Linked DNA regions of Arabidopsis thaliana. The protein of the gene in region 1 interacts with the protein of each later gene in a pairwise test. Each region holds a gene or a part of one and is shown on either strand. Other genes may lie near its edges. The genes, in order: AT2G40010, AT5G47700 and AT1G01100.

Evidence for each region.
Region 2: the proteins of AT2G40010 (region 1) and AT5G47700 interact in a two-hybrid assay, tested with the Arabidopsis thaliana proteins (one large-scale study listed by BioGRID).
Region 3: the proteins of AT2G40010 (region 1) and AT1G01100 interact in a two-hybrid assay, tested with the Arabidopsis thaliana proteins (one large-scale study listed by BioGRID).

What each region holds. Positions count from the first base shown.
Region 1 is NC_003071.7:16,707,877-16,712,680, forward strand, and holds AT2G40010 (Ribosomal protein L10 family protein), read right to left. Parts: upstream 2,897-4,804; 5' UTR 2,573-2,896; coding exon 2,315-2,572; intron 2,206-2,314; coding exon 2,137-2,205; intron 1,688-2,136; exon of another isoform or gene 1,411-1,687; coding exon 919-1,410; exon of another isoform or gene 837-918; coding exon 702-836; 3' UTR 503-701; downstream 1-502. Other genes in the region: AT2G40020 (Nucleolar histone methyltransferase-related protein), read left to right, coding at 3,887-4,024, 4,119-4,316, 4,489-4,633, 4,721-4,804. UniProt on the Arabidopsis thaliana protein: Ribosomal protein P0 is the functional equivalent of E.coli protein L10.
Region 2 is NC_003076.8:19,327,029-19,330,677, reverse strand, and holds AT5G47700 (60S acidic ribosomal protein family), read left to right. Parts: upstream 1-1,691; 5' UTR 1,692-1,808; intron 1,809-1,950; 5' UTR 1,951-1,953; coding exon 1,954-2,025; intron 2,026-2,298; coding exon 2,299-2,514; intron 2,515-2,605; coding exon 2,606-2,659; 3' UTR 2,660-3,112; downstream 3,113-3,649. Other genes in the region: AT5G47710 (Calcium-dependent lipid-binding (CaLB domain) family protein), read right to left, coding at 98-208.
Region 3 is NC_003070.9:49,397-53,074, forward strand, and holds AT1G01100 (60S acidic ribosomal protein family), read right to left. Parts: upstream 1,815-3,678; 5' UTR 1,730-1,814; exon of another isoform or gene 1,727-1,729; intron 1,713-1,726; exon of another isoform or gene 1,668-1,712; intron 1,568-1,667; 5' UTR 1,559-1,567; coding exon 1,487-1,558; intron 1,236-1,486; coding exon 1,023-1,235; intron 942-1,022; coding exon 888-941; 3' UTR 513-887; downstream 1-512. Other genes in the region: IQD18 (IQ-domain 18), read left to right, coding at 2,843-2,950, 3,038-3,334, 3,542-3,678. UniProt on the Arabidopsis thaliana protein: Plays an important role in the elongation step of protein synthesis.

The DNA.
Region 1 (4,804 bases):
GATTTAAATTATAATCTGATTTTATTATGAGGATAGGCTATGCAATTTTCTAAAAGAGTTTTTAATAATTTGATGATATTTTGTGATATGTATCTAAGGAAAGTTTGTAGTATAATTCAGATAGTATATAATATGATATAAATAGATAATAAAATAATATAATTCAGAAAGTTTGTTATAGGTGAGGTTTGGCACTTCAAAATCAAACCATCATTTGGACTAAGCAAGGCTGCAACCTTTTAAAGATAGATCTACACACCAACCAACATAGTTGCTATGCGCGACGAAAGAAAGAAGATAAGTGAAGGAATGAAACATATATTCTATGAAGTAAAATCTGAAATATTATGTAAAGTAGACTGTGCTTTTGGTTATATAGCTGAAACTAACCAAACTTGTTATATGTTGGATATGTTCCTGTCATAGTTGCTGGAGTATTGTCTGTTTGAGCTATTGAAACCTTTACTGAAGAAGATGAAATATACTCATTTGCGTAGTTACTGACAGAATCAGACAATGACATTGTTAACCAATATAATTGGGTTCAGAAAATTCCTCAACGGAGAGAAATTAAAACCAGAAAGGTAGTTTTGATGAAGAAACAAAATATCCATAAACGTAACAAAGAAATTCTGAACGTGAAAGTTTTAAAGGTCCATAAAATAAATAGGAAAGGCTGGCAAAAGATAAGACGGTGTATTTTAACCGAACAGATCAAATCCCATGTCCCCATCAGACTCTTCTGCAGCTTCTTCCTCAACAGCTACTGCCACCACTGCTCCACCAGACTCTCCTGAAACCGGTGCAGCCACTGCAACTGCAAACTTGGTTGGATCCTGATCCATAAATGTACAGTTAACAAACAATTTCATGACTACTAATCCCAATATCTGAAACGCAAAATGAAAGAGGACAAACCTTTAGGAACTCCTTCACATTCTCAGCCTGAGGGAAAGAGTACTCAGTAGCTAAGGCAACAGCAAGAACGTTCTTGTAAGCATTGAGGAACATGTGAGGCGCAGCTGCTACGGTTGGGTAAGAGATTGCAAGAGAAAGCGCAGTGATCATCGAGACACCAGCTGCAAACTTCTCAACAAGGTCGTCTTCAGTGAGGTTAAGCACTTCAGGGTTAAACACTGACCCATTATCGTAGACTGACTCAACAACGAGACCATACGAAAAGGGCCTGATTCCAAGCTTGGCAAGAAGCGCAGCCTCGGATGAACCGACTTTGTCGCCTTTCTTGATGAGCTCCACAGGGGTTATGATCTCAACCGTACCTTTGTTGATTTTGGTTGGAATGTTAAGCACCTGGAAGAAGGAGGTCTGTGAAGGGTCAAGACCAGTGTTGCCTGGTTGCACGACCACATCAATTGGAGCGACTAAACCTACACGAGCAGGAGCTCCAACCTGTCAAAAAAAGGACAATGAATTTCTCATCAATTAACAGTACAAGACTAAGTTGAAAAAATCAATCAATCCAACAACATGAAAGGACGCTACAAAAATGTGAGCCTAGGAAACTAGTAGACTCTCAAGTAAGTTTCTTGAATGTGGTTGCGTTTCAAGACAGAAAATAGAGGTTTTGAGTTCCAATTTAAACCAAAATGCAAACTTTATCACCTATCCACCTTACAAGTTAATAACCTAAAGCCATAGGTTAAAGGATGATCATAAACTGACTAAATCATCAAGTAACAGTAGAAGCTAAAAATAAACCAATCAATCAAAACACAAAACAGAAACTACAAATGTCGTCTCCTCAAACCTCAATGAACCAAAATAACTAGTACTATAATCTAATCAACCCTATTTGCTTGGAAAGTGAAAGTTTGCATTTGTGTTTAAAATCGAATAATACAACACCTTGCATTCTTGCTTACTTAGAGATAATCAGATACAGCATAAAACTAACCAAACTAAGTAATAAACCAATCAATGAAAATGTAATCTCCTCAAAGCTCAACGAATCATAATAATCTCAATTAGAATGTGGCTGCATTTTAAGCAAGAACACATATGATTTCATTTCAAACTCAAAAATACAAACTTTCACTTTCCAAGCTATCAATCCATATTTGAACTCTACTAAAGCTTAACAACAACAATAACATCAATTGAGCCAAAGAAACAAACCTTGTACTTAGCAACCTCTTCACTGACTTCCTTCAAGTCACCCTTAGTGAAGATCAACCCAACATTCCCCTGTTAAATAGATTCTAACACCAAACCAAATCAAATTCTCCACAAAACCAAAAAATCAATACTTTATATCCAAATGAAAACAAACTATTCAAGACAAGAGAAATGAAACCTGAAGAAGAGGAAGGAGACTGAGGAAAGCTTGATTGCCAGTTTTATCAGCATGAATCCTCACAGATCTCTTCATCATTGTGTTCTTCCCCATCAAAACAACTGAATCACCTCGTAAACCTTTCCTTATGTTCTGAAGCTGAGTTGATCCAACATTGTCAGCTGCAACGACAAGAATCTGAGAGTACTCATTCAAAAGCTGACAAAGCTTTGAATCGTAAACGATCTTCTTCTCCGCCTTTGTTGCTTTCACCGCCATTTCCACTTAAAAATGATAAAGTGAGACTAAAGAAACTAAATTTTGGGGTAGAGAAAATGGAGGGCCTAGACGAAGCTTGGAGCTCGTACAAGGTGGACAGCGCGAATTGGCGCTGTCTCTTTAACCTCTGTAACTGTTTTTAACAGAGGAAGGAAGAGAGAAAGAAAAAAAGCTGCGTAAGAATTTGCTTAAGGTTGAAGAAGAAGTTTCTTGGGTTTATATAGTTATCGGAAGACGGAAGGATGAACGGTCAGGGTTTGTGGGATGACCTAAATCTAACGGCTTATATTATTTGTAGTAGTATCAATGGGATGGGCCAATATTGCCCAACATGTTTAACATTATGAATCTTTTTCCTATTGGGCTAAAAGCTCTTTCGACCCACATCTCAAGCCCAACTGAGATCCATTCATTGTAATTCATACTTTATTATTTTTTATAGTAACCAATAAGAAAATGGTTGACTTAACAGAGAAAATGGTTGACCCAAACAAATACTATATTATTTTTTTAATTCGATTTCATTCAAAGAAGCATTTTTGGGAGACGAGGAGGCGATCCACGGCTTATTCTTAAGAAACCTTCCACAGTCGCCGCCGATTTTATCTTCTCCGCCGTAAGTACTCTCTTTCCCTATCGAATCTGAACGAAACAGCTCAGCACATTGTCATCTCTGTAGCAAAATTAAGTTCGTGTTTTTGTGTTTTGTTGTGATTCTGTTTAGGTTTCATTTGGGTTTGAATTTTAGGGTATTTTTGGTTTATCTCTAGTGTTACTGATTCGGGATTTTTGGGAAAGAGCTCAACTTTTGTTTTGTTTCATCTTTCGTTGATTTTGTTGTTACATAGGTTTGAAAAAAGGGATCACTTGTTTGGTTGCCTTTGTTTGTTTGTTTGATTATAACCCAAAGACTTATACTTTTGGTCCTCCAATTTCTTCTGAAACTACAGGGAATTGTGAGGGATCAACAAATGGCTCCCAGAGGAAGAAGAAAGGTATAAGCTGTACTGTTTTTTTTGTTTTGTTTTTCCAAATTAAAATGCTGGCTAACAAGTAAAGATATGAGCTTTTGAATCATATAGTTTTTAGAGAGTATAGTGGAAAACTAAGATAAAAGCATAGACATAGACATTAGAGTAGAATGACTATATAGATGAAGTATTTGAATGACATGATTGTTGAAGTTAACATTTTGTTTCTCTCTACGACTTCTGTGTACTCAACGTTGAGAACACTGATGAGATAAGTTTACAAATACTTCTTTTTATGATGGGTGTTCTTGTTTTTTTCCTTCTATGATTATCTCTCTTTTCTATGCTTTTAAATTGCTACTTTTCTTTTGCTTTTTTGCAGAAGGCTGGATTGATGCGAGAGGATGCAGCACGAGATCGCATGAGAGGATTTGGGTTTCATGAGCATGTTATCAGTGAGAGTATTAAGGAACTGTTAGAGGTTTGTTCGCTAGTTTTAGGGTCTCCATTTTTCCGTTGTTGATAACATTTTCCTTGCAACTTGAAAATAACGTTTTACCCACTTTGGATTTCAGGTCTACGAAGACCAATGGTTTTTGATTGAAGATGATAGCTATGGTCCCCTCCTTGCTATCTGCCTTGAAAAGCAAGAGGAAAAAGAGAAACAATTGGCTGAAGTACAAGCCAACCAATTGCCTGAGAATCACAATGAAGAGATGGCTGAGGAAGAACAACCCAATCAATTGGCTGTGGAAATACACGAAGAAGAGAAGGTGATTTGTTTTTCTTCCTTCTCGTTCTCTTTCTGTGCAGGTTCACAAATCTGTTGCTTCCATTGTTGGGATTCGTTTTGCTGGCATTATTAGAAACCATTGACAGAATTCTTGAACTTGGTTTACCCAAATGGTATGTAACTTGCAGCATGATCCATCTTTTGTAATACAGGAGCAGGAGCAGGACATGCATATTGAGTATGGAAGAGACCAAGCTGATGAGTTATCAATCAATAGCGAAGCAGTCAATGACCCATCACCAGCAGCTATTCATTTGGGAGAAGCATCATCAGATTATGCACAAAGTTCTGTTCGAGGTAATAAAAGCTTTTTTACTCATATCCATACCAATCTCAACATAAGAAATGAAACATTCTTTTACTGCGGTCAAAATAATTGATTAGGTGTGGAGAATCTTCATTGTGGATGGCTAATTGATGAGGAGGAGACGGATCCTGAGGAGGAAACGGATCCAGAGGAGAAGGAGA
Region 2 (3,649 bases), on another chromosome or scaffold:
CAGACAAATAAACACAACGAGATACTTGTTTCCTTGGTAGAAACACAAACACTGGTTCTAGTTGCCAAGAACAATGAAAAACACTGACCAAACATACCTCATTTCCTAATTTGACAATCACATAAGGATCACTTGACTTGAAATCTCGGATCACCAGTTTCTTTCCTTGAATAACAGTCACCTGGAGCAGTCCTAGTGGCTCGCCCATCTCAGATTCTACAAACACATGCTACCAACTTTAGAAACTTCTTGAGACAATCCTCGTGAATAACAGAGCTAAAGCAACTGTCTTTATTAGACAATCAGTTGAATATGACAACCAAGACACAGAGAAAGAGAAGGAAGTACTAGTCATTCAACATTCAACATTCAATCTCTAGGAAGCTAGGATATATCTAAACAACTACGCCAAGCCCAAAATTTTCTGAGAGCTTCTTGATATAGAAAACGAAATTCTGGGAAAGATTCACACTTATATCAGTAAATAATAAAACCACACAGAGAGACCAAATGCTGCCAATCTACAGAAACATCTATCTAGCGAGTAAGGTAGAGAAAGAAACAAAAATCGCAAGCAGACCTTGATCAAGAGACAAACCAAGAAACACAGAGGACTCTGCAAATCAAAAAAGGCTCAAACTTTGTGGGTTGAACCCAGAAGCTACTCGAGTCTACAACAAGACCAATAGAAAACCTTGAAACCCTAAAGAATGAGTAAAGTAGCGAAGAACGGTACGAACTGAAAAGGAAGTTTCAGTGTTTCACTGAGAAATTTGCAAACTTTAGAAGAAAAAAACTAATAAATAAGAAACAGAAAATTACTGAACAACTTTACCAGTTTGGAAACAAGAATAAAAAATCGTCTTCTTGTGGTTGTGATGAATTGAGCAAAACAGAAAGACTTGTATTCGTCTTCTTTGAGATTAACGCAGCAGCTACTTACTTACACCTTTGTAGAGGAGGCGAGGACTATCATTCTCATCAGAATTTTTTGTTTTTAGTTGAAAAACATTTTTATACAAATGTTGTCTTAAAGACAAATTCCATGGTCTCGACTCGACTCTCGAGGTTGCTATAAAGAATTTTATTTGACCAAACAAAGTCTTAACATGCGTTTTGACCGTAATAGTAATTTAGTGGTATCTAACTAATGAAAACAGTAAAATTATCCAAATCATATTCTACAAGTTATCGAATACTCCTTTGATTCTTGAACAACGTAGCAGTAACGGTAATGAATTAATTACTACAAAAGTTAGGTAAACCTAATCCTGGTTATAATAAATTAGTGAATCAAATACTTTTGTGTGACCCTTTACCACACGAAAAAGAAAAAAAAAAACTTTAAAAATTGTTTATATGCTTGAAATCAGAGGTGGCCTCTGACACGCTTTGACTCGGTCTAACCATTAAAGCTCCAATATAGGACCATGCGAATTTGTGTAATAAACATCTCACACTTTTTATGCAGCATAATGTTAAACGGTAAAAATGTTATTTTAATCCCTTAACTTTCAAAATGTGTTCATTTTATTTAAAACATAAACATTAACATTTGAAATACAAGAATTCGTTGACCACACCAAATAGACATGCCCAATACATACTCAAAGCCCAATAAATCTGAAAATGTCCAGAAGATCTTTAAATGGGCCTAATGAATATATATATTTTGAAAGCCCTAATGAAGCTTTGATACAAAGCTTTCTTTATAAACGCTGCGTCACATCACTGAATCAAAAACCCTAGCGATACTTCATCTCTCGAGCCGGAGCCGCGTTGCGAAAGCATTTCAATCGTAGTCTAAGGTACTCTATCGATGATTCTTCATTTCTTTCTTTCGAATTTTACAAGCAGATATATTCCTTCCGATTATTCTCCCATTAAATTTTCAGTGTTGTTTTGATCTGTGAATAATGTTGGTTTGTTATGTTACTTTGATGGTTTCAGAGAATGTCGACAGTGGGAGAGCTCGCTTGCAGCTACGCTGTTATGATCCTCGAGGATGAGGGTATTGCTATCACGGTATGCTTCCTTTTCTACTTTACTATTTTCTTAATTTTGATTGGTCTCGTTGTATCATTGCTCATGGAGTTTAAGGATTTTGAGCTGTTTCTGGTGACTTGATAGTTAGAAACTAAGTGAATAGTTATAATCTTTCGTTGATAAGGATTAGTAGAGTTATAGAGTCAGTAATTGAACAAGTGTATTTTTGTTTCTGTCTATATATGTTTGAATTGGGTTATAACTTATTAATTTAAAGATCTTTGCTTCTGTTTGTTGAATTTGTGTTGATAGGCTGACAAAATCGCCACTTTGGTGAAAGCTGCTGGTGTTACCATTGAGTCATACTGGCCAATGCTATTCGCCAAGATGGCTGAGAAACGTAATGTCACTGATCTCATCATGAACGTTGGTGCTGGTGGTGGAGGTGGTGCGCCTGTTGCAGCTGCTGCTCCTGCTGCTGGCGGTGGTGCTGCCGCTGCTGCTCCTGCTGCCGAGGAGAAGAAGAAGGTAAATTATATAACAATGAATTCGTAGCTTTTCCCTAACGAAGCATGATCTGGTATATTTATCTAATTGTTTTGTAAATTTACTGTTGCAGGACGAACCAGCAGAAGAGAGTGATGGAGATTTGGGTTTTGGCTTGTTCGATTAAGTGCATTTTACTTGTTTTTTCTTCTTCGATTTGAGACTATTTTTTTTTCGTATCGAGCTATTACTTGTTTTGGTCTGGCTGAAGAACTATAATTAGTTGTTTTCTGAACCATATGTTGTATGACACAAGTTTTCAAGCAAACCCATCGGCTCCTTCTTTCCTTAGAAATGATTTTGTCACCTCTTTTTTTTTTAATTCATTCGAGATATTAGTCTAGGCTCGTCGAATCAGAAGATAAAATGATAAATCTTCCCAACGGAAAGGAGTTTTACGAGCTTAGTTAGACAAAATCACTATGGTTGAGCCCTTCCTATTTCCTTTTCTATTATATCCCTGAAGAACCATGTGTGTGTAAAAGGTGAGTGGTTTGAACCTGCTCCGTTTGGCCAGGCGTGTGGGTTGACGAACAACATTTTGTATTGTTTTAATTCAGTTTCATCCTTTTTAAGTCGCAAGAATAAGTAGTTGACATCATTTTACTCTCGGGTCATTTCCTTAATCAATAGCCCCTATATGATGATAAGAGAGTGATACTACCAGACAAGCAGCTAAATTTGGACTTGAAAGGAAATACATTCTTTTCCTTTTGCCAGATCGGATCATTCTGAACCTTTCTACCCAAAAACCGAAAAGCTTTCATGATTTGACAAGCGATAAAATAAACAAAAGAAGTTTACAAAAAAAATTTGGCAAAGCAGTTAAGTTCAACAAGAGAATAGTACTTTGGGTAAAGGAATATAAGTTGTAAATATTACAGAAAAAGAAAAAACGTAAAACAAACCTACAAATAAACACACACAGAGGCTACAATACATGACCACAAAAGCTTCTGGAGGAGCTTCTTTCTGCCTATTATTCTTTCCAACATGGTGGTTAGAACAAGTATGTATCACTAACCCTACAAGTCTCACATTTTTACCACATATACACCACAGCAATCCAGAGACCACCAATTTTTGAGGACAATCACCGCAATTTCTTCTACATTAC
Region 3 (3,678 bases), on another chromosome or scaffold:
TCTTTTCATTTCATCTCTTAATTTCAAGATCCGATCTACAAATATAATCCTTGTTAAGTATGCTCAACATAATTTATTTTCTTCTTTAACTCGAATTGGTTAATCAATAGTGGAATCATCAAATTAACAAAATGATCTGAACAAATTCAGGTGAATAACCATAAAATTCTAACCATTTAGAAATATGGCTTTTCAATTGAGTTTTAAGAATAGATCCGTTTTCTTTAAGATTTGTATATAATCCCATAAATCTTTTGTTATCAGGTAGAGCTATAGATGCAACTACTTTTGACTCTAAAAGAAAGAAAATTGAATTTAAAACCTAATTCCTACCGTTACTACTAAATTATTATGAAACATATTTAATCCTCTAAACAACATTTTTTGGTTTTCCTATTTCTCTTACGAAAAATCCCATTACTTTTTTATCGTATTTATCCTTATCTCAATTTCATCAAATGGAATGTATGACAATAGACGTACAAATGTTATGAAGACGCTGCTGGGTAAGAAGAAGAACAAACACTAACATGTTCCGATAATAAAGGCATTGGGCCGGCCTAACATTACTGCAAAAGCCAATTTTATTAAAGACCTATATTTGATGACAATTCTAAATATTGTATGACCGGATTTAACATTTATGGTTTGACGTTTTCGAAATTAAAGACCTATATTTGATGAACGAAGACTTGGTAGAAAATAAACAAAATCAATTCTAACAAAAGCCCGAGCCGATTGGTTTGCTAGGAAACTTGAGTTATACAACATACGCATCATAAACCAACTAATAGTCCTTTAGCCAGATCAAACAAGTAATAATAACTCATACGACAAAATATAGTCTCCAATATCCAACTACAAAGAAGAAAGACAAGTGACTGCGTTTAGTCAAACAAACCGAAACCCAAATCTCCGTCACTCTCTTCTGCTGGCTCATCCTGCAATACCAAAATGAGATCAATTTTATATCACTTATTAGTTAGAAGAATGATTTCGTCTATCGTTGCTATTTCATTTACCTTCTTCTTCTCCTCAGCAGCAGGAGCAGCTGCCGCACCACCGCCAGCAGCTGGAGCAGCAGCTGCAACCGGAGCACCACCTCCACCACCAGCACCAACGTTCATGATGAGATCAGTCACGTTACGTTTCTCAGCCATCTTGGCGAATAGCATTGGCCAGTATGACTCAATACTAACACCAGCAGCTTTCACCAAGGTCGCGATTTTGTCAGCCTATCAACGACATAAACAAACACAAGTAAAGATCTTTACCCAATTCAAAACACATTTAGACAGATACATAAAATACTTGTTCAATTCCTGACCAAATAATACTATACCAAATCCTTATCACTCCATAAGAATCATTTTCACTAAGTTTCTAACTATCAAGTCAAAAGAAACGGTTCCAAAACCCTACTGACTAAAGCAAAGAGACCAATCAAGATTTAGAAATAGACAAGCAGGAGTCAAAGGAAAGATACCGTGATAGCGATACCCTCGTCCTCGAGGATCATAACAGCGTAGCTGCAAGCAAGCTCTCCAACTGTCGACATTTTTTTATCCTGAAACGATTCAAAAACAGTAACAATAGATTAATTGCTTATTCACAAAAAAACAAACTTTAAATCCGTTTTAAACCAAAATTAGAGTAAGTCGAACAACCCAGACGATGATGAAATGCCAATAACAAGTATAAACGGATCAAATGGAGAATCATAGACTACCTAAGAGTAAGATCGAAAATGCTTTTCGCAAGGCGGCGAGAGAGACAAAATTTCTAGGGTTTGGATGCGGAGACGGGAGATGCAGAGTTTATAAAGCTTTTATCCAATTATTTGATGGGCCGCATAAATATTCGCTAGGCCCATTTTTTAATTTTACATATATTTGTTTTCAGTATTGGGCCTTCAAACCTAATAGCCGTGAATAAATAAAAGATAAGAGCCCAAATTAAGAGATTTGACTTTGACCAGAAATTGTTGGTTGGTTTCTAGGGAACGACCACCGTGGTCCATCATGCATGTGACAGCACGAGCTTGGTCAAGCAATACTTGATGGATGTCCTTTTCGCACTAGTAACATAATTCTTCATTTGACATATTTATAGTCTTCAATAAACATATCATATGCGATCCAATATATTTTCATTTTTTCTTGTACATTCGTCTTGGTCCAAAAATCACGAGTTTGATTAGTTCTTTAACCCCAAACTTCACAAAATCATGTAGTTGTAGACACCAAGTTTGATTATATTTGTCAATTAATAAAAAAAATGATTTATACAATTTGTTTAGAATCTCGATAAATACTTGTTCATCCTACTACCATTCCAACCAACTTTATATAATAGTAGTAAAAATTACGCATGCGCTAAGCCAAATATTGGCATTTAGTAGAATAACAGAAAAAAAATAAATAAAAATGTAGATTATGGAGCTAAAACAACGTGCAATCTCTCTCCTTATCTAGTCTACGTATATTGTCCCGCACGGTATATAATCAATATGGACCCAAAAACGAATATATTCATGTTAATATCGATGCCAACAAAATAAATTAATAATACTATGTATTTGGTGAAAAGATAAAATTTATTAAAGAGAAAGAAACACAGTTATTGGTGTCGTGGTTGCAGTAAAAGAGGTGGTCAGACTCAGAGCAACTTCTTACAAAGCAACCAAAGGTTATCTGTACTTTCTGTTTCTCTCTCACTCCTTATTTCTGAAAAAAAAATCTACAGCTAAATACCTAAATCTCAACTTCACGGAACACCGATACATAAAGACAATAGAGTGGTAATAATTTGTTGAGACCAAAAGTAATTAAACACATTACACATGGGGAAAAAGAACGGCTCTTCTTCTTGGCTCACCGCTGTAAAGCGAGCTTTCCGATCTCCGACGAAGAAAGATCATAGTAATGACGTCGAAGAAGATGAAGAAAAGGTTTCTTATTCTTAGATCTTATTATTTGCTTACTATATTCAAAGTATGATTATTGGTTTTCATTTTTCTCTGTTTTTTTAAAAAAAGAAGAGAGAGAAGAGACGGTGGTTTAGAAAACCGGCGACTCAAGAATCTCCGGTGAAGTCTTCCGGTATCTCTCCACCAGCACCTCAGGAAGATTCACTTAACGTAAACTCAAAACCCTCTCCGGAGACAGCACCGAGTTACGCAACTACGACGCCGCCATCCAACGCCGGTAAACCCCCGTCCGCCGTAGTCCCCATCGCCACGTCAGCATCTAAGACACTCGCACCGAGGCGGATTTATTACGCAAGAGAAAATTACGCTGCTGTTGTCATCCAGACTTCTTTCAGAGGATATTTGGTGAGCAATTATTAATGACCTATATTTTTACTTTCATTTTTTTAACCAACTTGACTTCTAGACCACTTTTTAGTGACAATGATGTGTGTCTATGTCTATAAAATTAACATTGCTTATACAAGATCTACCATTTAAAAGATTGGGATTTCATTTAGATAATTTTTTTTTGGGTCTTGATATAAGTTTTGTTCTTTCTAATTTGGTAAGGCAAGAAGAGCATTAAGAGCATTAAAAGGGTTAGTGAAGCTACAAGCATTGGTGAGGGGACATAATGTGAGAAAGCAAGCTAAAATGACATTAAGGTGTATGCAAGCTCTGGTTCGAGTCCAGTCTCGTGTGCTTGA